Linked DNA regions of Arabidopsis thaliana. The protein of the gene in region 1 interacts with the protein of each later gene in a pairwise test. Each region holds a gene or a part of one and is shown in the gene's direction. Other genes may lie near its edges. The genes, in order: RAN2, SIRANBP and AT5G53480.

Region 1 (9,396 bases):
TCAGATTTCTGTTCTTCATGTCTCTTAAATGATTCTGATTTTGAGTCGTAATCTTGTTTGTTGCAGCTACTATTGGTGTGGAGGTTCATCCATTAGATTTCTTCACAAACTGTGGCAAGATCCGTTTTTACTGCTGGGACACTGCTGGACAAGAGAAATTTGGTGGCCTTAGGGATGGATACTAGTAAGTGTGGACCCTTTACTTTCTCATTGATAGGTTAGTGTCTAGAGTCAATCTAGAGTGTGCTTAGTTTGGATTAGCTCTGGTTAGGATTTGAAATTGGCAACCGATTAACCTGGACAATGGGTATAAGACTGGTATGTTTTGAAGTATGCATAGTTTGCAACTGATTTTGTTACCTGGACAAATAGAGTAGAACTTGAATTTTAATTTTGATATTCCATCTGGATGTATAGCTAATCATCTTTGAATTTCTTGCAGCATCCATGGTCAATGTGCTATAATAATGTTTGACGTCACAGCACGGCTCACATACAAGAATGTTCCGACATGGCACCGTGATCTCTGCAGGGTGTGTGAAAACATCCCGATTGTTCTGTGTGGGAACAAAGTTGATGTGAAGAACAGGCAAGTGAAGGCAAAGCAGGTTACATTCCACAGGAAGAAGAATCTGCAGTACTATGAGATATCAGCAAAGAGCAACTACAACTTTGAGAAGCCTTTCTTGTACCTTGCTAGAAAACTGGCTGGAGACCAAAACCTTCACTTTGTGGAGACACCAGCGCTTGCTCCACCAGAGGTTCACATTGACATTGCTGATCAGCAGAAGAACGAGGCCGAGCTCTTACAGGCTGCAGCTCAACCCCTCCCCGATGACGATGATGATATCTTTGAGTAAATCATCCTTCTAGAATGTCTGCCGTGGGAAGCTCTTGCTTGTTCCTTTTGGTTTTCTCTATGTTGTTTTGGTGTTACATATAAATCAATCGGTCTTTCTTATAACAAAAATTAGGTATGTATTTTTGGATGGTTCTTCTGATGGTATCCAAAGCTAAGTTGTTTCTTCGCAAGAATATTAGTTGATTGGAAAACTTTATTCTACCTCCTATTACTTGCCAGTTCTTAGATTTCAGATGCCACTCTTTAGCTACCAGGTGATGTCATATAAACCTGGGTAAAATTAGCTGCAAGTAGATCTTGTTGGGAGACCTGACCTGCATTGACAATGGTTAAGTTCTTTGCCTTCCCCGATCTCTCTAGCTTTGCAGATTCTTCTGCAATCCTCTTCCTTTTCTTCTTTGAAACTTGATCTTCTTAATCAATCCGCACCAGAACTTGTAGAATAATAATCGGATAACTTTTTGTTTGGCAACCATTCTTGCATTGAAGAATGAAGTAACCCTTTCCCTCAAATCAACGACCGATTTCAATCCGTGATTCCAGACATTTTCTTCAACCGTGAGCTCTAAGACCAATTTCTGCAAGTTTGAGCTTAAGAATTTATCGATGTGTATATTAATTTCTGGAAATATTGTTGGTATTAATATGTTACCATTAAATTTGAAAGGCATCATTAGATGGATGTCATGTGAGTGAGTACTTGAAATTTTGAAACTATCCGTTACGGACAATAAATCCTTATTTAAATGATTTGTTAGTAAAAAACTATGCTACAAATAAAATCAAAACTTCACATACGATACAGGAAATAAATATATTATTTATTTTGTCAAAACTCAAAACCAGGACCTAAAGCTGAAAAAAAAAAGATCCAACGGTGCAGAAAGCTGCGTAGATATTGGAGAGCCAAAAGATGGAATCTAACGGTGGAAAAAATAGCGTCAAACCTAAGCCAAAACCTCCCAAAATTCTCCTTATTAAAACCCCATCTCTCTCCCTAGTCCCTCTCGCCGCATCGCTTCTTAAACCTCGACGACATCAACGTCTGACTTCGCTTCTCCTCTCACATGGTGAACATTCTCTTCTCTTTTCCCGATTTCTTCGTCTTGTAGTATTTAGATCTCACGAGATCGCTTAATTTCGTTGATGTTTCTTTTTTCGGATTTTACTGAATTTTGTTGTGATATCTTGTTCAGGCTCTACCTAACCAACAAACCGTAGATTATCCTAGCTTCAAGCTCGTCATCGTTGGTGATGGAGGCACAGGTACAGTATTCTTCGCCGTGTTTTTTGACCTATTGTTTTTTGTGATCTCTGAAATTTGATCGTCTTTTCACTGTCCCCATCTGAAAGCATTCTCGTTTAAGAGACGGATTTGAGATTTTGATGATGTGCTGATTAGATTTGTACGATTGGTTTTTGATAATATCAATGTTTGATTGGTTTTAAAGAGAACCTTACAGACTAGGCCTTCGTTGAGCAGATCTTTGGGATATCGATTCTTAGATGATCCGGAATGTTGTTTTCATTGGCTCAGTTTTAGTATGGTTCAATGTTTTTGATTAGTTCTTGCTAAACCTATGATTGCTCTTGGTGTTTTGTACAGGGAAAACGACCTTTGTGAAGAGACATCTTACTGGGGAGTTTGAGAAGAAGTATGAACGTAAGTATAGCAAAGATGCTTGTGAATGCACAATTTCTGTGAACATCATCTGATGTTGAGTCCTAATCTTGTTTGTTGCAGCTACTATTGGTGTGGAGGTTCATCCTTTGGATTTCTTCACAAACTGCGGAAAGATCCGTTTTTACTGCTGGGATACTGCTGGACAAGAGAAATTTGGTGGCCTTAGGGATGGATACTAGTAAGTATACATATCTCCATTGATATGTTTGTGTGTATACTCAATCTAGAGTGTGTATAGTTTGGATTAGCTCTGGTTGGTTTGTGCGTAAAATTGGCAACCGATTTGTTACCTGGACGGTGGGAATAGGAATCGTATGTTGTTGAAGTAATCTGTTAAGATCTCAATATCTATTAAAGTTTGCATTGTTTTGATTAGCGCTGGTTAGGTTGTGAAATTCAAGAACCATCTCACATGTCATGTTTGCAACTATTGTTACCTGGACAATAGGAATAGCTGACTGGGACTTGAATGATAATGGTTTGTTTGATATTCCATCTGGATATATTGCTAATCTTCGGTTTTCTTGCAGCATCCATGGTCAATGTGCGATAATAATGTTTGACGTCACAGCAAGGCTCACATACAAGAATGTTCCGACATGGCATCGTGATCTTTGCAGGGTGTGTGAAAACATCCCGATTGTTCTGTGTGGAAACAAAGTCGATGTGAAGAACAGGCAAGTGAAGGCAAAGCAAGTCACATTCCACAGGAAGAAGAATCTGCAGTACTATGAGATATCAGCAAAGAGCAACTACAACTTCGAGAAGCCTTTCTTGTACCTTGCTAGGAAACTGGCTGGAGACCAGAACCTTCACTTTGTGGAGTCACCAGCTCTTGCTCCACCAGAGGTTCACCTTGACATTGCTGCTCAGCAGCAGAATGAGGCCGATCTTGCAGCTGCTGCAGCTCAGCCTCTCCCCGATGATGATGATGACGCATTTGAGTAAAATCTTCCAAAAATGTCTGCTGTGGTTTTCCTCTATGATGTTTTTTGAGTTGATGTTACATATAAATCAATCGGTCTATTTTAGAACCAAAATTGGGGGAATTATTTGGATTGTTCTGTTTTTTGGGACCCAAAGAGAATTTGCAGTCAAGTTTTTTCTGCCTTAAAGAATATGCGGTTATTGGAAAACTTTGATTCTACCCACTTTTCTTTTACTTTGCCAGTTGCAACATTTTAGATTTTGTAACTATTGTAGCTACTTGGTCATATGAATCAAACATAAAAGGAGAATATTTAGCTGTGCTACTTGAAATTGTTAGTTTAATCACTAGTGTTTCAATTACGTACACAAATCTTCTCATCTCCTTTTTTATGTATAGCTTTTAGGCCATGGCATGAATCATATATACATTGCTAGTCTTCCTCAAGTCCAACGCAAAGATAAAAGAGTAAAGATGATCAAATTTTCTTTCACAAGTTTGGAATTAAATCAAAAAACCTGAATGAAAAATAAAATGACATTTGTACAATCTACACTCAGTTTTTATTCTATGTAACACAAACTGTAGTTCTCAATGCTGCTGCTGCTGCTATCTGTATATAGTACTGTTATCGTCAGAGATAAGGTTTCTTATCTGCATCAGATGTTCCTCATTCGAAATGTTCAATTTGAGACGGAGATTTGTAATCCACGTTTCTTGTTCCCATGTTATGATTGGTCCGGATGCGTGCAATCTCTCGATACTGCTTCGGTATGCATCCAGCTCTAACCTATGAACATCAGCAGCCTCTGAGCCTTTTCTTGGAACCACCAACTTCTTGACCTTCCCGTAGCCACAAGACGATGACTCTGTGTCACTAGAGTTACCGGTTTCAATGGGATTGAATGAAACAGCACTGAGACCATCAGTATCCATGCAACAACTACCAACAGAAGAAGCAACACTCTCTCTATCTTCTTCTTCTTCTTTCACTTCTTCACGAAACCTTGGAGGATAAGCAGCTAAAGCTCTAGTTTGATTGTGAGGTTCAACCAAAGAGTAAGTCCGTTTCTTTAGACCTACTGACAAAGGTACATCAGACTCATCAAGCTTGTCTTTGCTCTCAGATGAAATGTAGTCGCCTTTCGGATTCACCTTTCTCCTTAGTTCTCCTGTTGAAGTCTGTGCGCTTAATCTTGATGTACCCTTCAGCCAAATGGTAAAATAAACAAAATGTCAGCTCAAAAACAGACTTTAAAAAGATATAGTCACAGAGGAAAGAAACAAGTACCTGTCCAATCATGATCCACTCGTTATCTTGCCAAGATTGTCTAACCCGAATATCGGATTTAGTCACCTTGAACTTCAGTGAGGAACCAAGTAATCTAACCAAGAAACAACCGTTTCCTAAAACCTTGGAAACGATTGCCATCTTCCACGAACAACTTTGGAAAACCTCAAGAATGTCACCAGGACACCAAGCATCAAGAACTTGTAAACGAGGAGGCTCAGGCCTCATACTCTTCCTCGGTACCCTCTCTGTACCATCATTATGATCATACATGACAGTGTAGTAATGCCCATTTCCTGATATGATCTCTGCAGACCGCCAGGCGCCAGATGGAACCGATGATTTGCTCAACACTTCGACTTTAGTTCCCTTGTTGAATCTCATGATTGCTGCTTCAAAAACACCTTAAAGTAAATATCTTTTCACATTCCAACTGCTTATAAAGATCAGAATTGAACATCACATATGCTAAAAGGCTGGTGCTTCACAATCATTAAGCAACAAAACAAGATAAATACATCCAAATATCCAGAAACAAGTTGGACCAATAAGATCCATTAGACTCATTCACATCCAAAAAATTCAACTTCAACCAATTGGTATAAAGATTACAGATTGTTTTGCTTCATAATCACTAGATTGCAGAAAAAGTCCTAAATTGCAAAAAACCAAATCCAGAAGCATACAATGGCTTGAAATGTTAATGAAATTGAAAACAGAGTATGACTCAGTTCCTAGGATCAATCTTCATTACTGAGAAATTGATTAGGGGAAGAGAATCAAAAATCTTTAAGCGGACATGAAGAGACTTAAAACTCAAAAATTCAAATTAAAAAAAAAAGAAAAAAAAAATAAATTTGAGATTGTGATTGTGATTACCTGAAAACGAAGTTTTAGTTTTTAGGTTAGTGAATGTTTAACACGCAAAGAAAGCCATGAATGATTCTACTGCCAGAAACAACAAAGCTTTGTTTTTTTTTCTTTGATATTTCTGGGCAACCAAACTTGGATCAAAAGGGCAAATAAAACAAAATTAAAAACGTATATGCAAATAATTATCAAAAGGAACAAAAAAGATAAATGTATATTCCACATCAGCAGCAGCAAGCCAAAAATCATTTTTTAAATGAAAATATTTTTAAGAAAATGAAGAAGAGAATATTTCAAGTTGCATGAGAAATAGCCTTTTTGTTTCATTTTATTTGATATGGGACTATTTTGTGTAAAATAACCAAAAAAAATGTAATTTGATAAGTGAGAATAACTTGATGGTTTGTTGGAAGATATGTAAAAGATTAAAAGTTGAATTTGTTATGTTTTCTTATATTTGAGATATCTAAAAGAGAATTGTTTCAACATTAATTAGACCTCTATGATTTGGTTTATTTTTCATAGGAGTGGTGTATAGCATTTAATTAATTCAATGAATGATTTTGATATGAGTTGACCAAAAGAAAAAGAAGATTAATTGGAAACATGATGTTGTAATCTAGGTGTTGATCAGCCTAAGATAACACTAAACATAACGAAAGTGCAAAATTTATAAATTTAATCACCTTATCTGAAAGTTATCATTATTTTGAGACTAACATATCCCTTGCTCGTCTTATTGGTTCGACATATCAAATACTTACACACTTATGTACGTAATTATAGGATAATCATAGTCTGTAATTCATAGTATAACAGTTTATCAATATGTATTGACGTTACGTTATTTGTTTGTTTCTAGGTGAGCACGAGCAAAGTGCGTGTTCCGGTGTGCCAAAAGTTTCGACATATTTACTTAATTTAAAAACAGTTATTAGAAAAAGAAGGAAAAAAAAACGTAATGGGGATGGTCAGGTCAGGTGGCTTTACATAATTCCCAATTCACTTTTGAGTTTTTGGTCATAAAAAATATTATCGAGATCGTAGGGTCCATATTTTTTGGCTTCTAACGATCAAATTTTATATTTTAGTTTGTCTTTCCCTTGCAGTACTTATTCATATCTTCTTGATTTCACAACGGATTGTGTCATCACCTGAACAATAGTGTTAGAATTATTTGAATGCGACTCCTAATGGTTCATAAGATTTTACAACTTTTGAATTTCTCTTTTTTGGAAATCATTATTGCTTCCTAATTGTATGAGCTCATGAATAAAGAAGGGTGTGCAATATTTTCTTCATACGTGTACTCAAGAACATGATCCAAAATCTTGTCTACTCGTAAAAAGTTTATAAGCAAAACACACTTTTGTTTTGGTTTTGGTTTTGGCTTTTCCGGATAAAATGAAGCAGTGTTTATGCTATTGCGCTTTCCACGCATGAAGCTTCACTCTTACATCCTTCACTCCTGATCCATTCTAACACCGAAGAACAGTCCTCTCGTCTTACGAAATGCCTTCATTAAGAGATTCAACCCATTACCAAACGAAGAAGAATTTAATAACCAAAAGAAAGCCTAATTTAGTGTTATGTTTGATCTTTGTACCTGTTTTTGGAGCGATACCCCTTTAGTTCAGAAGCTTCTCGAGAATCTCTTACGTCTTTGCTCATTCTTAGAGACTCCGGTATCTCCACCATCTCTGCTTCGCTCTCATAAGCATCGTATATGCATTGAAGTATTGAATCCTGCCAGAACAATGAATTATCACAATGCTTGGTTGATAGTATATAAGAGACTGAATAGAACAGAGAGAGCCCTCTTAAACATATACCAGAGGTTTGGAAGCATTGAGCCAGTGGTACATAGGCTCACACCGGAACCATGTCATTTGCCTTTTTGCAAAGTTTCTGCGTATCAAGCAAACCAAGTATTAGTTTAAAAGCGATAAGAGAGGATAACATGGGTTCTTTAAACTTTTGCAGGAGACAAAAAGTGAAGAAATGAATCAATGTGAAAGAATCAAAACAGAACTTCGACTTTCATTTATTCTCAATCACTATTTCGTCCAAAAGCTAATACACTAGATATTTCAAGTCTATGTAGAGGATTCACCTGGATGCTGTCTGAAATTTGTTCAAGAAAGCATAAAATTCTCTAGGGGAACTTTCGCCCTCATATCGACGACATTGTAATAGATATTCCATGGCCTGAAAACAAGGAATCATATTTCCATTGTTGATCAAAAACGGTATCAAAGTACGACAAATAAATTGCAATGATGAAGTCGTAAAGTATTTCATTTTTCCAACTAAATAAGAATGGACTTCCTTTCTGAACCAACTTGGTATAAGTGGATGATGATATATGCTAATAGTAATGGCTATATGTCTTAAACCGAAAAATAACTGTTATATAACATGGAGTCATGCAATTTCTAGAACCAAATCCATATTCTTCACTGAACTGGACATGCTGCCAAATTAACAGCTACAATCCACTGCAGAGCCCTTGGCTAATTATAAAGACTATGCACTAGATTAACAGAAGAAAGCCTTCTCTTCTCAGTTCGTTATTCACAACCCAGTACAGGAAATAAAGAGTTCACCTGTCTGTACCCAATGGCACGAGTTGCAGGATTTGAGTTTGGAAGAAGACCAAGATCAAGAAGCCATCTAGCTTCTGACAAAACTCCATTGGGTCCTGAGTTGAGAGACAAAGCACCAAGGAAAGATAAACTCAGAAGCAATGCCAAGCAAATATATACAAAATTGCATACGACACAGCAAAGAGCATGCAAATTGTCTCTTTTTTGGGTTATAATTAGAAGAATCAGATAAGAAAAGACTTATTACTGTAAGGTGCCATGCAATGGGGCTGCAATTGTATTCTTGCAAGTTATTACTAATTAAGTAGTAGCACTTATTTTTACCTGAAAGCATGTCTTCACATCTGAAATCAATAGATCTGTAGAGAGCAACCCGTGGGCTTGACAAGAAAAAACAAAGAAAGTCATAGTCCAAATCTGTCTCTATGTTTTGGATAGAGATATCGGCAGATGAACCGTCCTCAAGGAAGTCATCAGCATCAGGAGCAACTAAATTTACTCGAAAGGAATCATAAGGAATGCGAAAGGAAGACGGAGGCGATCCAGTTGACTGCCAGGAAAAAACATTCAAAGCAAGATTAATAGTGCATAGTTGCATACAATCCAAAATAAAACAATGATAGTTCATCAACCTATCAGGCAAGAAATCATTTATCTACAAGGGCAAGACAACAGTTGAAGTTAATAATTGTCAAACCTTGAGTATCTCGAGGCTACGGCGTAGTCTGTACCAATCATTACGAGGTAAAGAAGAAGCTTTTGGATCACCAGCATTGACCACCAACTCCACAGCTGCGTCCCAGTTATATTCGGTTTGAAAACCAACTAGCATATCATGGGCCTCAGCGATAACTTCTGGAGAAGGTTTAGGCACATCCGGCTTCCCATACATAAACCTAACATTAACAAAAGCATGTAAATGGATGAATTCTAGATTTTGCAGTATACTATAATTGCTTTTAACATTATACGAAAGAGCCACTAGACAAGTATATAATCTACAGCCATACCATCGCAGATACAATCCAGTTCCACCCGTAACAATGGGAACACGCCCTCTATTAAGAATATCTTTGGTAGCTTGCCTTCCATCATCATAAAATTGCCCCACAGAGTAGTCTAACAAAGCATGGAAAAATGTGTAAGTTTCTTCCT
Region 2 (9,391 bases), on another chromosome or scaffold:
GATACGCCGAGGGAGGAGAGTAGAGCAGTGGAGAGGGAAGGTGATGGTTACTCTGTTTATTGCAAGAGAGGTAAAAGAGAAGCTATGGAGGATCGTTTCTCTGCCATCACTAATCTTCAAGGAGATCCCAAACAGGTAATTTCAATTTTCTTCCGTAATTTCGAGTTTATTTACTGATTATTGCTTAATTAGTATGAATTGCGATTTGAAGATGGGTAATATATAACTTAAAATTTATTTATGCTGTGTTGTTGACTCAATGAATCAAATTAGAAGTTCTAAAGATTATAAGAAAATTCAGTGAATCATATATATGACAAATTGTATGAGTAGTTCTTGATTAGATAGAACCAATGACTAGTGTTCAAGAAAAAAAAAAAAGATAGATCCAGTGACTTACAAAATGGGGATTTAACATTTTTAGCTTTTTTATAACCGCAGGCAATATTCGGAGTCTATGATGGTCACGGAGGACCAACAGCGGCTGAGTTTGCGGCTAAGAACTTGTGTAGTAACATTCTTGGCGAGATAGTTGGTGGGAGGAACGAGTCAAAGATTGAAGAAGCTGTAAAACGTGGTTATCTAGCGACTGATTCTGAGTTTCTCAAGGAAAAAAACGTTAAGGGCGGCTCGTGCTGTGTCACGGCTCTGATCAGCGACGGAAATCTTGTGGTGGCCAATGCTGGTGACTGCCGTGCTGTTTTGAGCGTTGGAGGATTCGCGGAGGCCTTGACTTCTGACCACCGCCCTTCCAGAGATGATGAACGAAACAGAATTGAGAGCTCGGTAAGAATTCTTGCAAAAGAAGTTACTGTTAGGTTTTATCATGATTACATGGTTCTGATTACGATAATCCTGCAGGGCGGTTATGTGGATACATTCAATAGTGTTTGGAGAATTCAAGGATCATTAGCGGTATCTAGAGGAATAGGAGATGCTCATCTCAAACAATGGATAATATCTGAACCAGAGATAAATATTCTCCGAATCAATCCCCAACACGAGTTCTTGATCTTAGCATCAGATGGTCTATGGGACAAGGTTAGTAATCAGGAGGCAGTAGACATAGCTCGACCATTTTGCAAAGGGACCGATCAGAAACGGAAGCCATTGCTGGCTTGCAAGAAGCTCGTTGACCTCTCTGTATCACGAGGCTCCTTGGACGATATTAGTGTGATGTTGATTCAGTTGTGCCACCTCTTCTGACCATAGGAGAAATGTAGAGACAGAATAACAACGTTAGAGTCTGAAGTCATTCTTAATTTCTTACATTTTATTTTTTATTGTTTTCTAAGCATTCACTGTGAATGATTCACATATTCTTTTATTCGTTTTTAACTTCATTTAGTCATTTGAGCTGTTATGATACTTGTGTATACCATCTTAGACTGTCTTTACTCTCTATTGATAATCCTTATAGCCTTATAGGTCTTCTATGTAAAAACTCGTTAAGGCTTGTAAGTTGTATGTGAGTACTTTACCACTCAATACATTATATATTACTACTCTTTTATGAGATAATGTGGATCGACTTAAATGTGTAGGCTAGTACTGGTTTGTTTCAAGAGTTCATAAAATTCATGTTTTGAAAGTTTTTTACTTTTACGTTTATATGGACGCGTATTTCTTAACTACGTTAGTTCATAAATATCTTAGGCTCTTAGCCATTACCTTAATCCTATAAAATATTGAAAAGTCTGAAAGTTTAGTACGGTATTAAGTACATAGTGCAATGTCATTTTCTTAAGTTGTTTTCCAAGTGGATTCTCCTAGACATGCAAATTGGAAAATATGGTATGGGTCCTAAAAATCTTCAAATAATATCTTATGTTTTGGACATTTCTAGTAATTTATTCACCCACACATATATAAAAGGTGAAATTAGTTGCCCTAAGAGGATATGGAAGCAGTGGTGGACCGTTCAAATAGCACTTCACGTTCGCGGAAGGTCAAAGCTTGGCCAGAGAAACAACAAACAAAGTACATATATAATTTAGTTGCGGCGGCATTTTTTTTCTTTTGGAATTAATGGAAGAAAGGTTTCTGTATTTTGAAATAATTCAAAGATCAAAGAAAGATTATAGTGCATGCATAAAAGTTCGAATTCTAATGGTTAGCTAAATCATTAGCAAGCTTTGACCAAACTTCAATCGTAGTTTCAAAACACTAAATTGATATGTTATCAAAACTTTGATCTTTCTACCACTACCAACCCACTATAAATCCCAAGAAAGATACTATTGTAGTGATCTGGCTATTAACCATCCCAAGATTAATTCCCAACCAACGATCTCCTCAATTAAAAGTTAAAACCCTATCTTTTATTTTCTACCTTCCATCTTCAACTCGATCTCCGTGATATCTTTGGATAACGTTTTTGAGTAAATTCTTGTGCTTCCTTCATGATCCCAACCAAACAAAGAATAAAAACTAATATAATATTTTCACTATGCGTGGAGGTTGATCAAGCACGTCAATTCCCAATATGTGTGTTCAGACAACTCGTTAATATGTCAAAGAACGTGAGCCAACCGCTTCATGCCACGTAAGTTTCCAAATGGACCCCCATTTTTAAAACCCAACCCCTTTCGGCAACCTCTTCCTTCATCTCCAACCCCTTTGACAACTCCGATAATTTATTCGGATATCATCTACTTCGCGTATATATTCTGTTACTGTACACCCTCACCTTCTTTATGTTAATTGTTTGACGAATATAAATTAATTTATGTCCATTGCTTATGATTGGCTAAGACATGGTTTGGATTCATGAATCCTTGATAATGATTTGTACGTACGTCGACTACCGTATATTCCATGTCTGATCATGTCTTCAGGTCAACCAAATAGAAACATACCAGAAATAAGTCAATAAATCAAGCGTTCCAAATCTATAGGCACGTTTTTGTTCATTTGTCTTCTCCACGATCGGTGATCCGATCACTTAAGTAAAGAGACGATTTTTTAAATGTTGAGGTTATAAAAACGAAAACGATTGCGTGAAGCTAGAGGGTGTGTGTGATTTTATCTTTGCTGAGTAAAATATTAGCGGACAAGATCAAACCGCAACTTGAGTCTTGGTGGATAAGGATTAAGGAGACAGGGCAAGTGCATTGTTTCTTAAAAACATCCCAAGAACTTCTCCAAGTGTCATTAGGAGTGACATAAAACATTTTCTTCTAATTTCTAAAATGATCCTTTTTCTGATTTATTTGTTCTCTTTTCAAAACGACTAATCATTCCATAAAAGTAAAAAATTTGTAAGGATTAAGTCTAGATTTCAATAGATGTATATATAATTAAAATTGTTAAAATCCAAACCGACCATCGAACATGGTATAATTTGTTCAAAAATCTAATGATAGACTCGAAAGTTTGTGTTGTACATGACATATCCACGTGGGAAATTTTACAAAGATGAGACTTTACAAATCGAAAAGACAAGTGTACAAGAATAGTCCATGTCAGAAACAAAAAAAATTGCAACTTTATTTCACGTTCACATTTTCTGTTTTGCAGTTCCAAAACACGCATATAAATAGCTTCGTGTTGCACAAGTACGACATATGAAAGTTGGCACACATGGAGAAACAGAGCATCAGAAACACTTGTTCTTCTTCTTTAATGTTATCCTCACCATCTTCTTTTTGGGTTCGTGGTGCGTGTATCGGCAGAGGTTGTTTCGGTGCAGTTAGTACGGCGATCAGCAAAACCAACGGTGAAGTTTTCGCCGTGAAATCCGTGGATCTCGCCACGAGTCTCCCCACTCAATCAGAGTCTCTCGAGAACGAAATATCTGTCTTCCGCTCGCTAAAGCCTCACCCTTACATCGTGAAGTTTCTCGGCGACGGAGTCTCGAAAGAAGGAACGACGACGTTTAGGAATCTCTACTTAGAGTATCTCCCAAACGGTGACGTGGCTAGTCACAGAGCCGGAGGAAAAATCGAAGACGAGACTCTGCTCCAGCGTTACACGGCGTGTCTTGTCTCTGCTCTCCGCCACGTACACTCTCAAGGATTCGTTCACTGCGACGTCAAGGCGAGGAACATCCTCGTCAGCCAAAGCTCCATGGTCAAGTTAGCCGATTTTGGGTCGGCGTTCAGAATCCACACACCGAGGGCTCTGATCACGCCACGTGGAAGTCCGCTTTGGATGGCTCCGGAGGTGATCAGACGAGAGTACCAAGGTCCGGAGAGTGACGTCTGGTCTCTCGGCTGCACGATCATCGAGATGTTCACTGGGAAACCCGCTTGGGAAGACCACGGAATTGACTCGCTGAGTCGAATCAGTTTCTCTGACGAGTTACCGGTTTTCCCCTCGAAGTTGTCGGAAATCGGCCGTGATTTCCTAGAAAAGTGTCTGAAGCGAGACCCGAATCAGAGGTGGAGTTGCGATCAGCTTTTGCAGCATCCATTTCTCTCTCAGTGTCACAACTCATCTCCGACTGAGTCATCTCCGCGTTGCGTACTTGACTGGGTCAACTCGGGGTTTGACTTAGAAGAAGAAGAAGAGGAAGTAGGGAGATCAGAATTCGAAGACGCGGCGAAGGCAATAATTTGTAATTTGGCGACGACCGGAGGAGTAATTTGGGAGTCAGATGGTTGGGTGGAAGTTAGATGCCACGCTTCGGAAGAGGAAGGGACAACAATGGAATATTCGGGATCCACAAGGGTAGAATCGGAATATAACACATCATCGGATCCAAACGATGACGTGGCTGGTGACTCGGCGATAATTGACGTTTCTATGTCTCAGAATTTACCGCCTGGAAACGGGGGATCGGCGGCGGCGCTGCCATATGAATTTGTGGTGGTTTTACATTTATTAATGGAAATTATGGTTTATACTACATGTATCTTTAGGGAAATTGTTCTCACTATGTATTTGTTGTATCAGTATAATCAAAGCAATAAACTCGAAACGTTGTCTTTTAATCACAGCCTCAAGTTTTGTTTGTTTGCACATGTGATTCGGATCGGACAAAACTATCTTTTACGCGGTGAGATGAGATCGAGTGTCTTAATTACGAGCCATTGCCTTATATTGATAACTCTCGTTTACAGCCAAATAGTTGTATTTTAATGTGAAAAAATATTGCGACAAATGGTTTTGGTTCGTAAGCTGGTGGAAGACTCAAGAGGCCAAAAGAGACTTTGGTTTTATGCTTTAGAAGACTTTTGATTCATCCTAATAAGTATTCGGATTTTGGAGCATTTAAATGAATCATAGAGGGAACCGGACCGGTTGAAGATGGTTGTTTGTTTCGACTAGGCCTGAAGGACCAAGGTTATGCATGTACGATTATGTATCAAACTGAACGAAGTCGTTACATAGAGTTTAGCTCAAGCATATCATCATATTCTTTTTTCGATCTTTAAGATTTTTCTCTAATCTCTATGCTATAAATCATTAAGATTTCTCTAAAAAAGGATTAATTTCCCTTGAGATAAATAGCTTTAAAAATAACCCAGATACAATGGGTTTATATGGGCCATATATATTTTTTGTCATAAGAAATCGGCCCATAGTTAGCTTCAATTCAACGCCGTATAACTATGAGTCGTTCCGATTTCCTGTGTTGCGAAACCCCCAAATTCTCTTCTCTCTATCTCTCTCGCGTACGCCGCACCGTAGCGACCAATTGAATCCACGAGGAAATCTCAGTAAATACTATGGCGACCAACGAACCCGAGCACGAGCACAGAGACGAGGAAGAGGCCGGAGCTAACGAGGATGAGGACACCGGAGCTCAGGTCGCTCCGATCGTTAGGCTTGAGGAGGTTGCCGTCACTACCGGCGAGGAAGACGAAGATGCCGTCCTTGATCTGTAAGTGTTTTTCTTAATTGGTGTTTATAGTTTTTCTGATCTAGGTCAACTGGATCTGATCGAATTTATAAGGTTTAGCTTTTGGTGTGTTTGACTGAATTTTTGTTTGTGAATCTAAAGGAAATCGAAGCTTTATCGATTCGATAAGGATGCGAATCAGTGGAAGGAGAGAGGAGCTGGTACTGTGAAGTTCTTAAAGCATAAGAACACTGGGAAGATTCGTCTCGTTATGAGGCAATCTAAAACTTTGAAGATCTGTGCTAATCACTTCGGTATAATTTCTATTTGGACTACTTTGTGTTGTTTTTGAGTTGCATCTGGATCTGTATTTAGGTTACTGTTTCCTTATCTAGTCTTATGCTTCTGATATTTCTGCAGTTAAATCGGGCATGAGTGTTCAGGAACACGTTGGGAATGAAAAGTCATGTGTGTGGCACGCTCGTGACTTTGCTGATGGTGAACTCAAGGATGAGCTTTTCTGTATCCGATTTGCTTCTATTGAGAGTGAGTATGAAACCGAATTTTGTAATGGCTTGTGTTTTGCCTTATTTAGTCTCAGTTGGTTTGATAGATTCACGGATTAGATTACTGATGGATCTTGACCTTAGCATTGCTATATGGCTACTTTGTTAATTGGAGGTTCTCAAAGCTTCCATCATAGGCATGCGTTATTGGGTTCAGGAAATATCAAAATAAGTACTGTGGCGGTTAGGTTGTGGTATTGCATTGTAAAGAGATAATATTGTTCTTGAGGTGGTCAAGTATGTATTTAGGCTGCAACTAATTTGATATGCCAACATGGTCGACTGTTTCTTTTTTTATTTTGGGTAAATATTATCAGTAGTTTCTGAGCTGTTGATCATATTAACCGGGAAAAGTAGAGATGCTTGTGGGTAATCAAATCTTATTTTCCTTGTCAGATTGCAAAACATTTATGCAAAAGTTCAAGGAAGTTGCTGAGTCTGAAGAAGAGAAAGAAGAGAGCAAAGATGCCGCTGACACTGCTGGCCTTCTTGAGAAATTGACTGTGGAAGAGACAAAAACGGAGGAGAAAACCGAAGCGAAAGCTGTGGAGACGGCAAAGACTGAAGTGAAAGCAGAAGAAAAGAAAGAGAGCGAGGCAGAGAAATCTGGTGAAGCAAAGAAAACAGAAGAAAGTGGTCCCTCAACATAAGAAGCGTCATCATTTAAGTTGCCAAATCCTGGCGAGGTAATTAAGCCTCGAAATGTTTTGATGCATCATGAGTCTACCATTGTCTTGGCACTATCTATCTATACATGTTTTGTCGAGTCATATCAAGTGGTTGGGGGATCGCTTGGGGTCGGGTTTTACTGAATGCTGAGTCGTTATGGGTCTAATAGTTTTTGAGTCTAAAGTGTCGGGTGATATGAGAGATTTGGGTGAAATATTTTTTCATGTTGGTTATCTGAAAGAGTACATTGGTTTCATTGTTTTAAGTTTTCTCATGGATCCTTTTTGGATGGTCTTATTTTGAGGATACAAATGTGTTTGTCCATGGACAAGAATCAGAAGTCTCCATTTTTTTTTTTTCAAAATTTAATGCATGTGATTTTTTAATCTTAAGGTAATTGCCAATTGTTTGACAAAAAAAAGGTAATTGCCAATCTACTTTGCTCTCTTGTGTTAGTCGATGCTAGTCTTGACCCTGATAAAGATCCAAAATGTATATTAACAGTATTCATAAAATTCTTCAGTTATAACGAACTGTTCACGGAAAAAAAATGACATTGTACTATACTGTGCTAAAATTACCAAAGCATGATTTATATAAATCATATCCAGTAAGACCATATGTGAATGAATAACAATGGATTATGCTTAGGTTAAGATTTTATTAAATTTATAACACTTTTAAAATAAATTTGGAATAATACAAACATATAAACCATTCCTATAACACCATATTTAAACATAACAATGAATTGCTTGGATTTCAAACTTTATTAAATTTGGATTTTAAATTTTAATTTGATTGAATTATACCCCCTTAATTGGATAAATTCAAATATGTCAACTTTTTTTTTTTGTAAGATTTTTTTATGGAAAAAAAAATTGATTATTCACTAAAAAGATGACAGGTTACTTATAATTTAATATATGTAAACCCTAAAAAGAAGAAAATAGTTTCTGTTTTCACTTTAGGTCTTATTATCTAAACTTCTTTAAGAAAATCGCAATAAATTGGTTTGAGTTCTAACTTTAAACACATTAATATTTGTGTGCTATTTAAAAAATAATTTACAAAAAAAAAAACAAATTGACAGAAAATATCAGGTTTTGTAATAAGATATTTCCTGATAAATATTTAGGGAATATAACATATCAAAAGATTCAAATTCTGAAAATCAAGAATGGTAGACATGTGAAAGTTGTCATCAATATGGTCCACTTTTCTTTGCTCTATAACCCAAAATTGACCCTGACAGTCAACTTGTACACGCGGCCAAACCTTTTTATAATCATGCTATTTATTTCCTTCATTTTTATTCTATTTGCTATCTAACTGATTTTTCATTAACATGATACCAGAAATGAATTTAGATGGATTAATTCTTTTCCATCCACGACATCTGGAAACACTTATCTCCTAATTAACCTTACTTTTTTTTTAGTTTGTGTGCTCCTTCATAAAATCTATATTGTTTAAAACAAAGGTCAATAAATATAAATATGGATAAGTATAATAAATCTTTATTGGATATTTCTTTTTTTAAAAAAGAAATAAATCTTTTTTGGATATTTTCGTGGCAGCATCATAATGAGAGACTACGTCGAAACTGCTGGCAACCACTTTTGCCGCGTTTAATTTCTTTCTGAGGCTTATATAAATAGATCAAAGGGGAAAGTGAGATATAATACAGACAAAACAAGAGAAAAGATAAAGAAAATGGGTTTGAGAAGAACATGGTTGGTTTTGTACATTCTCTTCATCTTTCATCTTCAGCACAATCTTCCTTCCGTGAGCTCACGACCTTCCTCAGTCGATACAAACCACGAGACTCTCCCTTTTAGTGTTTCAAAGCCAGACGTTGTTGTGTTTGAAGGAAAGGCTCGGGAATTAGCTGTCGTTATCAAAAAAGGAGGAGGTGGAGGAGGTGGAGGACGCGGAGGCGGTGGAGCACGAAGCGGCGGTAGGAGCAGGGGAGGAGGAGGTGGCAGCAGTAGTAGCCGCAGCCGTGACTGGAAACGCGGCGGAGGGGTGGTTCCGATTCATACGGGTGGTGGTAATGGCAGTCTGGGTGGTGGATCGGCAGGATCACATAGATCAAGCGGCAGCATGAATCTTCGAGGAACAATGTGTGCGGTCTGTTGGTTGGCTTTATCGGTTTTAGCCGGTTTAGTCTTGGTTCAGTAGGGTTCAGAGTAATTATTGGCCATTTATTTATTGGTTTTGTAACGTTTATGTTTGTGGTCCGGTCTGATATTTATTTGGGCAAACGGTACATTAAGGTGTAGACTGTTAATATTATATGTAGAAAGAGATTCTTAGCAGGATTCTACTGGTAGTATTAAGAGTGAGTTATCTTTAGTATGCCATTTGT
Region 3 (11,793 bases), about 15 Mb from region 1:
ACTGTTTATGGATGGTCTGTTTTCGTTCTTAAATCTGTCTTTATTTCTTGGCTTGTTTGCTTCGTTGCGGACTATTAGAAACGAAGAAATCGGAGTGGTGAGGCTGCAGGCCCCATGGGACCGGTTTTTAGCTCATTGGTGTACGAAGAGGAATCTGACAATGAGTTGTAAGGTTCCTAAGCAATTAGTTACAGATTCATCTATGAACTTTTGGTTTTCTTTTCTCAGTTTCTCTATATGACTAGCTGACTAGATCAGAGAAGGAATGTATATATCATAATACTCACCTTAGGTAGATCAAAGAATCATGTGTTAGTTTAAATCATAGTAGAAGCTCTGTTCATTCTTGCGTTCTTACTCCATGTTCCAGGAAGATTGACGCCATACACGCCTTTGCTAGAGAAGGAGAAGTCGAGAATCTATTGAAATGCATAGAAAATGGCATACCCGTAAATGCAAGAGGTTAGTAGTCTTGTATCATTTTCACAGAATGTTCGGATCTGGTTTGGAAACTTAACAGTTTCTCCATCTTGGAAATGTCAGATAGTGAAGGTCGAACACCACTGCATTGGGCTATAGACCGTGGCCATCTTAACGTTGCTGAAGCTCTGGTTGATAAGAACGCAGATGTGAATGCTAAAGTAAATAAATAACCAAAACCCCCTAAACTAATTCTTTCTCTCAATTACAGACTTTTATGTTTTTGTCGCTGACAAACTTTGTGCAGGACAATGAAGGCCAAACCTCTCTACACTATGCTGTTGTGTGCGAAAGAGAAGCACTCGCCGAGTTTCTGGTGAAGCAGAAAGCTGATACAACCATTAAAGACGAAGACGGAAACTCGCCTCTTGATCTCTGTGAATCAGAATGGTCTTGGATGCGAGAGAAGAAGGATTCCAATTAGTGTTTTTTAAGTCTTTAAAATTGTGTGTCAAAGCTAGATGCTTGTGTTTTTCTTACATTTCCTCTGAGCCTCTTTGCTTCCTCTTAAGCTTATGTTTTAACATACAACAACACAAGTTACATATGATATAGTAGCTCTAGTTTTTATTGGTTACTATATTGAACCCAGAGAGATCATCATCATCAATCATCATAACTCAATAATAGTTTTTTTTTTGTTAGTATAATGTTTCTCTCTTTCGTTCGTGACCCTTTCATGTTTTTTCAGCCATCTGAATCATTATTATCATACCTGTAAAACAATTTTGTTGATTACTTGTAAAATTTATAAGTATTTTAAATATGATACAAATTGTACCTTCGGAATAAGAAAAGAAAAAAAATCTTCTTCTTCGCATCTCGCTGTAAAACAATCCGGACCGTTGATTAATTAACGATGAGAATATATAAGGTGGGGTTCAGATAAGGACCACCCAACACGCGATGTACGACATAATCACTCCAGATTATATCAATTCTTTAATCAGAAATATATTTTTAGTGTGCAAAAATCATAAAGAAAAATATTTTCCCTTTTTATATATATATTGGGTAATTCAGATTTTTTTCTATTTATGTTTTTATTTGAAAAAAATAAGATACACTGAACAAACAATTATGATTGGAAACAAATTTTCATATTTAGAAGATTTATACAACTTTTTTTTAATTGGGTAATTTTAAAAGATATTTTCCTATATATAGTTTTTATAAAAATATTAGGATACACTGAACAAAACCTAAATATACAATTGAGTACAAATATATATAAGTTTGGAAAACAATTTCAAAATTAATAGATTTACATAATTTGTGTTCAAAACAGTTTTTTTATTTGTTTATATAAATATTTGGTTAAAAGTTTAATAATAAAATTTAAAGTCCATCTTCACATCCGATTCTTCTCTTCTCTTCTCTCTCTCTCTTCCCTTTTTCGCTGGAACTGATTTTTTTCTTCTCTCTCTCTCTCTCTCTTCCTTCTGGGCTTCTAGGGTTTGTCCTCTCCAGTCCCCGATTTCCGCTTTATCCGATCGGCCGCCGCCGAGATTCTAGGTTACCCTTCTTCACTTCATCTATTCAACTTTCTCCCTAAGATCCATCTTCAGATTCATCACTTCCCAATTCGCTTTTTTTTTTTCCTGATTCGATCTCGATTCGTTCAATCATCCATTTCCAACTTTAGTTTCGATTTGTTCACTGTTTTATGATTTGAACTCGTTCGTAATCTGAGATTTGCTTTTCGATTTTTTAGTTAGATTCATTTGTTCTATTAACTTGTTGATTTGGTCATCTTAGTAACTAGTTTGATTTCGTGTTTTATATTCGATTTCGTGCTCGGATCTGTTGTTCTGGCTGTTATAGTTGAATCTGACAGTGTTTTTAAGCGTCAATGGCTCGTGCTTTGATCTCTTATTGCTATTACATGGTTTTTTCGATTCATAGTGATTTAGTAGTCTTTCACCTTTATGGCTTTTTGGATCGTTGACGAGTTTCTTCATGTTGTTGGCTTAATTTACTGATTCTGTCTTACTTCTTCTTTATTTTCAGTTTTGCTGAATCTGTTTGTTTCTGTTGCAGATAAACCTATGGCAATGGAGGTTACGCAGTTGCTCATTAATGCTCAGTCGATTGATGGAACTGTACGTAAGCACGCGGAAGAAAGTCTTAAGCAGTTTCAGGAGCAAAACCTTGCGGGTTTCTTGTTGTCGCTTGCTGGAGAGCTTGCGAATGATGAGAAGCCAGTAGATAGCAGGAAATTAGCTGGTTTAGTCCTTAAAAATGCTCTTGATGCTAAGGAACAACACAGGAAGTATGAGCTTGTTCAGAGATGGTTGGCTCTAGACATGTCAACAAAGTCGCAGATCAGAGCTTTCTTGTTGAAGACACTGTCGGCACCTGTGCCTGATGTTCGTTCGACTGCATCTCAGGTCATTGCTAAGGTTGCAGGTATTGAGTTACCACAGAAGCAGTGGCCTGAGCTCATAGTGTCTCTTCTCTCAAATATTCACCAGTTACCTGCTCATGTCAAGCAAGCCACTTTGGAGACTCTTGGATACCTATGTGAAGAAGTGTCACCTGATGTTGTTGAACAGGAGCATGTAAATAAGATACTCACAGCTGTTGTTCAGGGTATGAATGCTGCTGAAGGTAATACTGATGTTAGACTTGCTGCAACCCGTGCTTTATACATGGCTCTCGGATTCGCCCAAGCAAATTTCAACAACGACATGGAGCGTGATTATATCATGAGAGTTGTGTGTGAAGCAACCCTGTCCCCTGAGGTGAAAATTAGGCAGGCAGCTTTTGAGTGTTTGGTATCTATCGCTTCCACATACTATGAGAAGTTGGCGCATTACATGCAAGATATATTCAACATCACAGCTAAGGCTGTAAGAGAAGATGACGAGTCTGTTGCTCTACAGGCAATTGAGTTCTGGAGTTCTATTTGTGACGAAGAGATTGACATCTTAGAAGAATATGGTGGTGAGTTCGCTGGGGATTCTGATGTTCCATGCTTTTATTTTACTAAGCAGGCTCTCCCTGGTCTTGTGCCTCTACTGCTGGAGACTCTTCTGAAGCAAGAAGAAGATCAAGATTTGGATGAAGGGGCTTGGAATATTGCAATGGCAGGTGGGACATGCCTCGGTTTGGTTGCTAGGGCAGTTGGAGATGACATTGTTCCACATGTCATGCCGTTTATTGAAGAGAAAATATCAAAGCCTGATTGGAGAGAGCGAGAAGCTGCAACTTATGCTTTTGGTTCCATTTTGGAAGGCCCTTCTGCCGATAAGTTGATGGCAATTGTTAACGCAGCGTTAACATTTATGCTCAATGCTCTAACAAATGACCCAAGCAACCATGTGAAAGACACAACCGCATGGACCCTTGGTCGGATATTTGAGTTCCTTCATGGTTCAACAATCGAGACACCTATTATTAATCAGGCAAACTGCCAGCAGATAATCACAGTACTCATCCAGAGCATGAATGATGCGCCTAATGTTGCCGAGAAGGCTTGTGGGGCTCTGTACTTCCTTGCTCAAGGCTATGAGGATATCGGTCCCAGTTCTCCGTTAACACCCTTCTTCCAGGAAATTATTAAGTCACTTTTAGCTGTTGCACACAGAGAGGATGCAACTGAATCACGCTTGCGGACTGCAGCATATGAGGCATTGAATGAAGTTGTCAGGTGTTCAACTGATGAAACGTCTACCATGGTTCTGCAATTAGTACCAGTGATAATGATGGAGCTTCACAATACTTTGGAAGGGGAAAAGCTTTCATTGGATGAGAGGGAGAAACAAAACGAGTTGCAGGGACTTCTATGTGGATGCTTGCAGGTCATCATACAGAAATTAGGATCTGAACCAACCAAGTCTAAGTTCATGGAGTATGCAGACCAAATGATGGGACTTTTCCTGAGGGTGTTTGGTTGTAGAAGTGCAACTGCACATGAGGAAGCCATGCTTGCCATTGGTGCTCTTGCTTATGCAGCAGGTCCCAATTTTGCCAAATACATGCCTGAGTTTTATAAGTACTTGGAGATGGGTCTTCAAAACTTTGAAGAATACCAAGTGTGTGCTGTTACTGTTGGTGTTGTTGGGGATGTCTGCAGAGCATTGGAGGACAAGATTTTACCTTATTGCGATGGGATTATGACACAGCTTCTGAAAGATTTGTCGAGCAACCAATTGCACCGATCAGTGAAGCCACCGATATTCTCCTGTTTTGGTGACATAGCACTTGCTATCGGTGAGGATTTTGATAAGTACTGGAGGTATTCAATGCCGATGCTTCAGAGTGCCGCAGAGTTATCTGCTCACTCGGCTGGAGCTGATGATGAAATGACGGAGTACACAAACTCATTGAGAAACGGAATCCTTGAGGCTTATTCAGGCATATTTCAAGGTTTCAAGAACTCCGCCAAAACCCAGCTCCTGATTCCTTTCGCACCCCATATCCTCCAGTTTTTGGACAGTATATACATGGAGAAAGACATGTAAGTTTGGTTACGACCCAACTGAATTTCTATTATGTCATAGCAGTTGTTTAATTTTGTGGTAAAATTGCCTTGGGACAGGGACGAGGTGGTGATGAAGACAGCGATTGGGGTCTTAGGAGATTTAGCAGATACACTAGGGAGTCATGTGGGTGGTTTGATACAACAGTCAGTGTCAAGTAAAGAGTTCTTAAACGAATGTTTGTCTTCTGAAGACCACACAATTAAAGAAGCAGCCGAATGGGCGAAGCATGCCATAACCCGTGCCATATCTGTTTGAAGGCTCTTCTTTTGCCTATAAGAAAGAAAATTCCTTTTGCTTTTTAGTAAAGTCTGCATGCATCTCTGGGTGGGTTGAGTCGGTCGGGGGGAGGGGTAGAGCTGCAACATCCGAGTCACATCAGCATCATCAGCATCAGTTTCATTTGCATCATCAGCATAACTGGGGTCAGTCAGGGAATCGTTGAGTCGTGGATGTGGGGAATGATGAGTTTTGGGGTAAATAATGAAACTGGAAGAGTCACGGGTGAAAGTTTCCCGGGTAAGGTTAAATCCCCGGGAGTAGAAAGAGGAGGAAGTGAGTCATGGTCGTTTTCTGGTGGGTTTTGGGACAAAGTTATACCAAAAAAAAAAAGGTTTCATGGAACATCTCATAATACATTCTTGTTTTTTCTTTTCTCTCATATGTTCTTCAACCCCTTGAGGAGGGAGAGGTCTCAGGTTTTTATCAAGTGGGGGCATTATTAGAGGACAATCCCTTGATTTTTTCTTTTGTTTTCTTTTATTATTTGGTTAGTTGCAGTCTTTGCATCATCATTTTGTCTTTTGGGGGGGTTTGTATGTTTGATTAAAAGCATTATTCACATTTTTATTTTTATATAAAGAAGTTTCACATGTCTGTCTATCTTCTCTTTGCTATGATGCAGTTTAGGGGGTTTTGCATATATACTTGTGTTTTGTTTGCAATCAAGTTTCAAATGTCACATACAGGAACATTTTTATTATATGGTGTCATGTCTTAGGGTCTTAAAGAGGTCCACATCTATTCATTTTACTATGGAACTGTTTACAATCGTTTAGAATCCATTATTTGATTTGGCTCGAACTATATGGGAAAGGGCACATGTTAATAGGAGAAAACGTCCTGCCTTACTCTGCTTCCAAAGAGTCAAGTTAAGAGATCGAAGAACATTTCACATTCACGCTGTTTATGGAAACCTCAATTTTGATTGTATGTGTTGCTTTTTTTTGGTTTTCCAAACGCCAAATGCAACTGATACCGAACCTATATTTTGAAAAATGTTTTCATGTGTATTTGAAACATTCTAGACCATTCAAGTTATGGTTTAAATTAGTTTCTCTCGGTTCTATGTATTAGTCCCAAACCATGTTTCTGACGTCTCGAGAATTTTTCTCTTGAACTAAATATATAATGTCATAATTCATTCGACATATCTTTTTCGAATTGATGATTTAGGCGAGAGAAACGTTGGTTCTGTTGGTATTTTTTTTTTTTTCATTGTGATGACATACCCATTTAAATCTCACTCAAATGGACAATAAAACACATAAAAGATAGATGATGGCTAAACATCCAAGAGAAATAGGACACGCCACTCTGAATTGAAATTGGGAGTTGAAAAAGAATGGTGGTAATACGAAGTGGGCCTTTTTTATTGTCAAAGGACTTGTCCAAGCACACCCACATATATCACATACACTGATACACACACAAAAAAAAAAAACATTTTTGTCGTCCGCGACGATTTTTTTCATATTCAAATAATTTCATTACGGCGTTAATACTTTATTTTGCGACTTTAAACTTTACCTTTAGTCTTTAAATGCAATACTGAAATAGCACCGAAAGATATATGAGCGTCGTCAGCTGAAACTGCCAAAAAAAGGAGAAAATCTTACGATCCAAGTTATTAGTCAAAAGAAACATAATTATTGATTAAAGCATGAACTTCTTGCGACAAAAAATAACTCCAATTTTTCTTTCAATAGCTATTATCTAACACATTTTACCTTAAGGTTACGGATCAATACATTTTTAAAAATAATAATGATTAGTAAATACTTTCTTAGAAGATGAACGCCATTAAAGAAAACTCTGAAAAAAAAAAAAAAACGGATGTTTTTTAAGAAAATTAATTCGTTTAGTAGGACAACGAAAACCTAATATATAAGCTAATTTAATGGATAAAAACTAGAACTTTGGTTCAAACTACATTTATAGATCTAACTATGCGTTCTCATTGCCTGATGGCTTTCATTTTTTGATGTTGTTCCTTCTAATGTTGATACGCTCTTAAGCGATGATGTTATTGGGTATGTGCGCCTAAGGCAAGTAAGTTTGTAATTTTTCTTATAATTTTTAGTCTCCCGTCTTCTACAGAAAAAAAAACTACACTTATGAGATGAATTGTATATTAAAAATTTAAAACGAAGGAAATATTTAAGAAAAGTAGTGAAATTATTAGTTGTGGGTGTCTCGTGATTTATTATTCGCGTTGTAAACTATGTTAGTATTGAAATTGTGTTTTTGTTCTCTTTTTTTTTTAACTAATAGACGTACGTTTTTTTTTTGTCAAAGACTAATAGATGTACGTTTCGTCGTCTTTCTGTGTAGTTGACATTGGACAACAGAAGTTAAGACTTAAGACACGTACGTTGTTGCCCAATAAAACATTGCTAATTTAGTGGCTCATTGGTTTCTTATTCATCACTCCTTTTAAACGCAACATATAATTGCCGACACATTGATTATTTCCCTACTCACGAACTTTCCCTTTTTTTTTTTTTTTTTTGTGAAGTCATGCATAGTCTTCGGACAGAAGAGCTGCACGTACATGTGTTAACTGTTAAGTGAATAATGTTTTAGATAGTACAACGATTCTACTTAAGCAGTTTAGCTGGTTTAATGTACGTGTAGTCTATATTAGTTTTTATCATATTCAGATGCTGAAAAAGAATCTGTTTCATTTTATTTTTTATAGAAAACTGCAGATATTTACTTGGAGGTTGTGAGAAAACATTTTAAGATGGAAATAATTAACCAGTTAAGAAAGTTGAAGTGCGAAACCATTTTTTTATATGAAAGGATCTATAGAGGGGATTTATAAAGTCTTCTAATCTAAAATATATGGGTTATGGTGCAATACACACACACATATATATAAGTATAACCATTCATATGGTGACTTTTTGGGGGTAAAAGTTCTTTAGTTTTTGGGATTTAGTAGAATTATGGATTTTAGGTCAAAACACATAATGTTATGAGGAACGATGTTTATTAATTGTAAAATAAGATTTTGGGGGATAGTGGTCTCTCACTATAATAATGGGTCACTTAAAAAGATGCACTTCTCTGATACATTTTGCAGGCCACTCGCTATGTCTGTCTCAATCCTAGTTGACTTCTTATAAAGTTGTGAAGGCCGAAATGGAAGGATTAGTTCCACTATTTCTCTTTATTTGTATCAAATTATTTAGTGTTTGGTACCACGGATTTTAAAATCTGCCCTAACCATCTTTTGACTTCCTAATTACTTACGTTATTCCCCTGTCTAGGAGTTGCCTACCATGTTGGTTTATGTGATCGAAGTTTACTGAACTTAGTCTATCTATTTTGATCCCTGTAAAATTTACATTGACCGCAAGGAAAATGTTTTGATTCCACATTTAAACTTTAATTTACTAGTACTGATCTTTGTTCTAATATGTCAACTGTACATGGTGTATTTAAATATAACAACCAAAATTTCAAACAGAAATTGGATTAAAAGGTTTTGAAAATAATCATTGGATTAATAAGTGTGTTCAAGTTTGGGTATTTGTAGGGTCTTTGTTTGAAAAGTGTGTACCCTTGATACAAATCTTCGCTTTCGTTTTGATTCATTAACAGCATTGAAAACTTACAATAATTACGTACGAGTTTGGTATGATTCCATCTTTACTTTTGATAATGGACCCAATTATCTTAGCAGAATTCAATTTCCAATAAAATTTTGCGTCAATAAGTAGACTTAAGATCACACGTGGTGCTGCACTCATCGAACCTATGATACATTACAGCTGTATGGGAAAAAGTGGTGAAAACAATGGGCTTAAAAGTTAAAACTTAGATTAAAATCGATCATGTAACCAGAATGAAACTTTTCCTTTAAGAAAATATATTGGTTTTGACTAAAATCATCTAAAATGAAACATCACTTAGAAATAAGAACTAGTATAATAGAGAGTGTTTTGAGATCAAACCGATTAAAATTGTAAAATAAAAAAAAAATGTTTTCTTTTTTTAATGAAACTCAAAGGATATAATGAAAATTTATATGGTCAAGAGATGAACTTCCACTCAAGTTAATGAATTAGGTCACTTTTCTTGCATCAAACAAACCTTTTTTCATTATGATTTGATCCACATATATAACCTTTCGGATGGCTTAGGGCACAACTTACTCTAATTCAAGTATTTGATGGTTCCCACTTCACTTGGTTCACAAACATTTACAGTTAGTAATCTATACTCAGATTTAACTTGTTATTCCTAATTACATTTTCCTATCTGGCAAATTAACAATATAGATAAACTATTTATCTATCATCAAAAATTGATTGCCAGAAGAAAAAAAGGCTAATTAAAAGAAACGTCAACTTTTTGTTTGGTAGTTAAAGTTTTGTGACTTTTGTCTATAGTATATCTAGTACGGTCTAATTAACATAATCATAAGATAAAAACGATATACAGAATTTGAAATTTGAACAATGTCATGCTATAAGGAAAAGTGTGTTAAGAAAAAAAGTGAGGTTACTAGCTAATATACGATTTTTGTCCACAAGCATAAATAGAGGTAAGCGTTAAGTGTTCCTTTTTGGGAGATGTAACACAATCAACAGTTAAGTTGACTTTTTCAACCTTTTCTAGGGTTTGTGGCCTGTAGGTTCATTGCGTTAACCCAATAACTTCTTATTCTTCTCATTTTTGTTCTTGCTACTATCATCACCATTTTGATGTTAGTAGTCTCACCACTGTTTTCACCTTTTTTTGATAATTGTTTTGTGATATATAAAAAAAATCGATATCTACGTGATATTCTTATTTTAAAAAGTTATATTGATAAGAGCTTTACATATTTTCATTGTCATAAACAGAACCAACCATCTTAGTCATGGTCATCATCATTGTCATAGTCATCATCATCACCATTACGACTAATATTATACATGGACCATAACAGTTTCCACCACATTAACTTGACCGTTTATAAAATGGGAACTAACCTTCCCCATCTTCTCATATGAAAATCCATTTTGTCCTCATTTTCCATTGATTAGTTGCATTCTCTCCCCTAAACGAACAAAGAGTAATCATCAAAAACCATATAATATGCCTCTTAGGATTGAACCCCTATCTCTACTCTTCCTCATTCTCATTATATGCTCTTCATCATTAGGTAAACATATAATTGATATTCATATATTCCATCCTTTTCAATTTATAGTCTTTTAACTTTGTTTTAAGGGATGACTATCAACCTTGCGTCCCAACACATCCATCTTAGTCCGAGATCAGCTTTTGGTATTATCTTGTTGAACATTAGTCTTTTCTTCGTTGTTGAATCTAGTGCCTTAAACTACCTTAATACCATTGATTATTAATTACTATTATATTGGTGAACACTTTTTCCATTCTTTCTCCAAAATTAAAACACATCTAACTAACTAGTATGGGTTGAAATAAATAAGTCACTTAAAGAACAATGTATATTCCGCTAACAGAGTGTTTTCTTTTAGCCATAGTGGAAGGCTCTATCCAGCTCGACGGTGCGAAGATGCATGAGAGTTCCATGCTTTACAAGGTATACATCATACATGTAGATGCTTTACGTTTATATATGTTCTTATCAACATTAGAAATGTTGTTAATGTCCAAATATTGACAAGAATTTATGTGTTTATAATTAAAAAGAGTGAGGAGGTGGGTGTGAAGAAGATGGGTCATAGGAAGTTGATGTTCCACTCGACAGCGGACTACGACGACGCAGGACCCAACCCTAAACACGACCCAAGGAGAAGGCCCGGAGGCAAGGGTTGAATCATCAACACAGAACTATCTCTGTCATTATATATATAGTAGCATATATATAAGCACATGCACTAATATCTATATATCATATATGAATATGTATGTGATGTATCCTCCATTCTGACTCTTTTTGTTTGAGGATGAGCTCAGTGTAAAATACCCTTCGGAAACCCGCTAGTGAAAGGATTAGTGTCTAATAACAAGACATAATAAATCCTTATTTATTATCATCTTATTTCATTGACATATATAATATAGCCATTATATCCTGTGTAATCGTTATATCAGAAAATAAATAAAGTGTTATGGTTATTTTTAGTTCTGTATAGTATTATTATAAATGCGTCTTCTACAATATTTCACATTAGTTGATGATTTCAATCTTATGCAGTCAAACACATAGTAAAAAACTCTTTATCAGCATGATCACTAAACGAAAAAGAAATGAAGACAGATTTTATGCTTATCATAGCTAAAACCTTATATGTCGCTATTACAATAACATAGTACAAATGAAACAAGATTGCAATGGTTGATTTAAAAAAAGAAAATATAAAACTAAAATGAAAAAACAAATATAAAATTAAAACAGTTGCGCATCCAGGGAATCGAACCCTGGTCAGTACCGTGGGAGGGTACTATGATACCACTACACCAGATGCGCTTTTATTCATTGTCTCTTCTCTTACATATTTATAGCGAAGACTAGTTACTATGGTTATACATATTTCACAAGCATACATAAAATTCACATACTAAC

Evidence for each region.
Region 2: the proteins of RAN2 (region 1) and SIRANBP interact in a two-hybrid assay, tested with the Arabidopsis thaliana proteins (one study listed by BioGRID).
Region 3: the proteins of RAN2 (region 1) and AT5G53480 interact in a two-hybrid assay, tested with the Arabidopsis thaliana proteins (one study listed by BioGRID).

The regions. Positions count from the first base shown.
Region 1 is NC_003076.8:6,760,888-6,770,283, forward strand, and holds RAN2 (RAS-related GTP-binding nuclear protein 2), read left to right. Parts: upstream 1-1,681; 5' UTR 1,682-1,929; coding exon 1,930-1,932; intron 1,933-2,058; coding exon 2,059-2,128; intron 2,129-2,468; coding exon 2,469-2,525; intron 2,526-2,606; coding exon 2,607-2,724; intron 2,725-3,076; coding exon 3,077-3,494; 3' UTR 3,495-3,796; downstream 3,797-9,396. Other genes in the region: RAN-1 (RAS-related nuclear protein-1), read left to right, coding at 67-184, 443-860; AT5G20030 (Plant Tudor-like RNA-binding protein), read right to left, coding at 4,084-4,680, 4,766-5,149; IPT9 (isopentenyltransferase 9), read right to left, coding at 7,052-7,151, 7,242-7,381, 7,468-7,543, 7,749-7,843, 8,224-8,336, 8,566-8,791, 8,939-9,137, 9,252-9,360. UniProt on the Arabidopsis thaliana protein: GTP-binding protein involved in nucleocytoplasmic transport. Required for the import of protein into the nucleus and also for RNA export. Involved in chromatin condensation and control of cell cycle.
Region 2 is NC_003070.9:2,189,970-2,199,360, reverse strand, and holds SIRANBP (Pleckstrin homology (PH) domain superfamily protein), read left to right. Parts: upstream 1-5,524; 5' UTR 5,525-5,672; coding exon 5,673-5,827; intron 5,828-5,947; coding exon 5,948-6,099; intron 6,100-6,205; coding exon 6,206-6,331; intron 6,332-6,747; coding exon 6,748-7,001; 3' UTR 7,002-7,682; downstream 7,683-9,391. Other genes in the region: AT1G07160 (Protein phosphatase 2C family protein), read left to right, coding at 1-135, 442-786, 862-1,206; MAPKKK13 (mitogen-activated protein kinase kinase kinase 13), read left to right, coding at 3,583-5,082; AT1G07135 (glycine-rich protein), read left to right, coding at 8,737-9,204.
Region 3 is NC_003076.8:21,711,488-21,723,280, forward strand, and holds AT5G53480 (ARM repeat superfamily protein), read left to right. Parts: upstream 1-1,757; 5' UTR 1,758-1,995; intron 1,996-2,520; 5' UTR 2,521-2,528; coding exon 2,529-4,942; intron 4,943-5,023; coding exon 5,024-5,222; 3' UTR 5,223-6,391; downstream 6,392-11,793. Other genes in the region: ACBP1 (acyl-CoA binding protein 1), read left to right, coding at 79-167, 371-462, 544-641, 728-904; AT5G53486 (uncharacterized protein), read left to right, coding at 10,335-10,401, 10,470-10,526, 10,742-10,806, 10,917-11,042. UniProt on the Arabidopsis thaliana protein: Acts as a negative effector of drought tolerance. Involved in the regulation of stomatal closure and in the abscisic acid (ABA)-mediated pathway that lead to drought tolerance.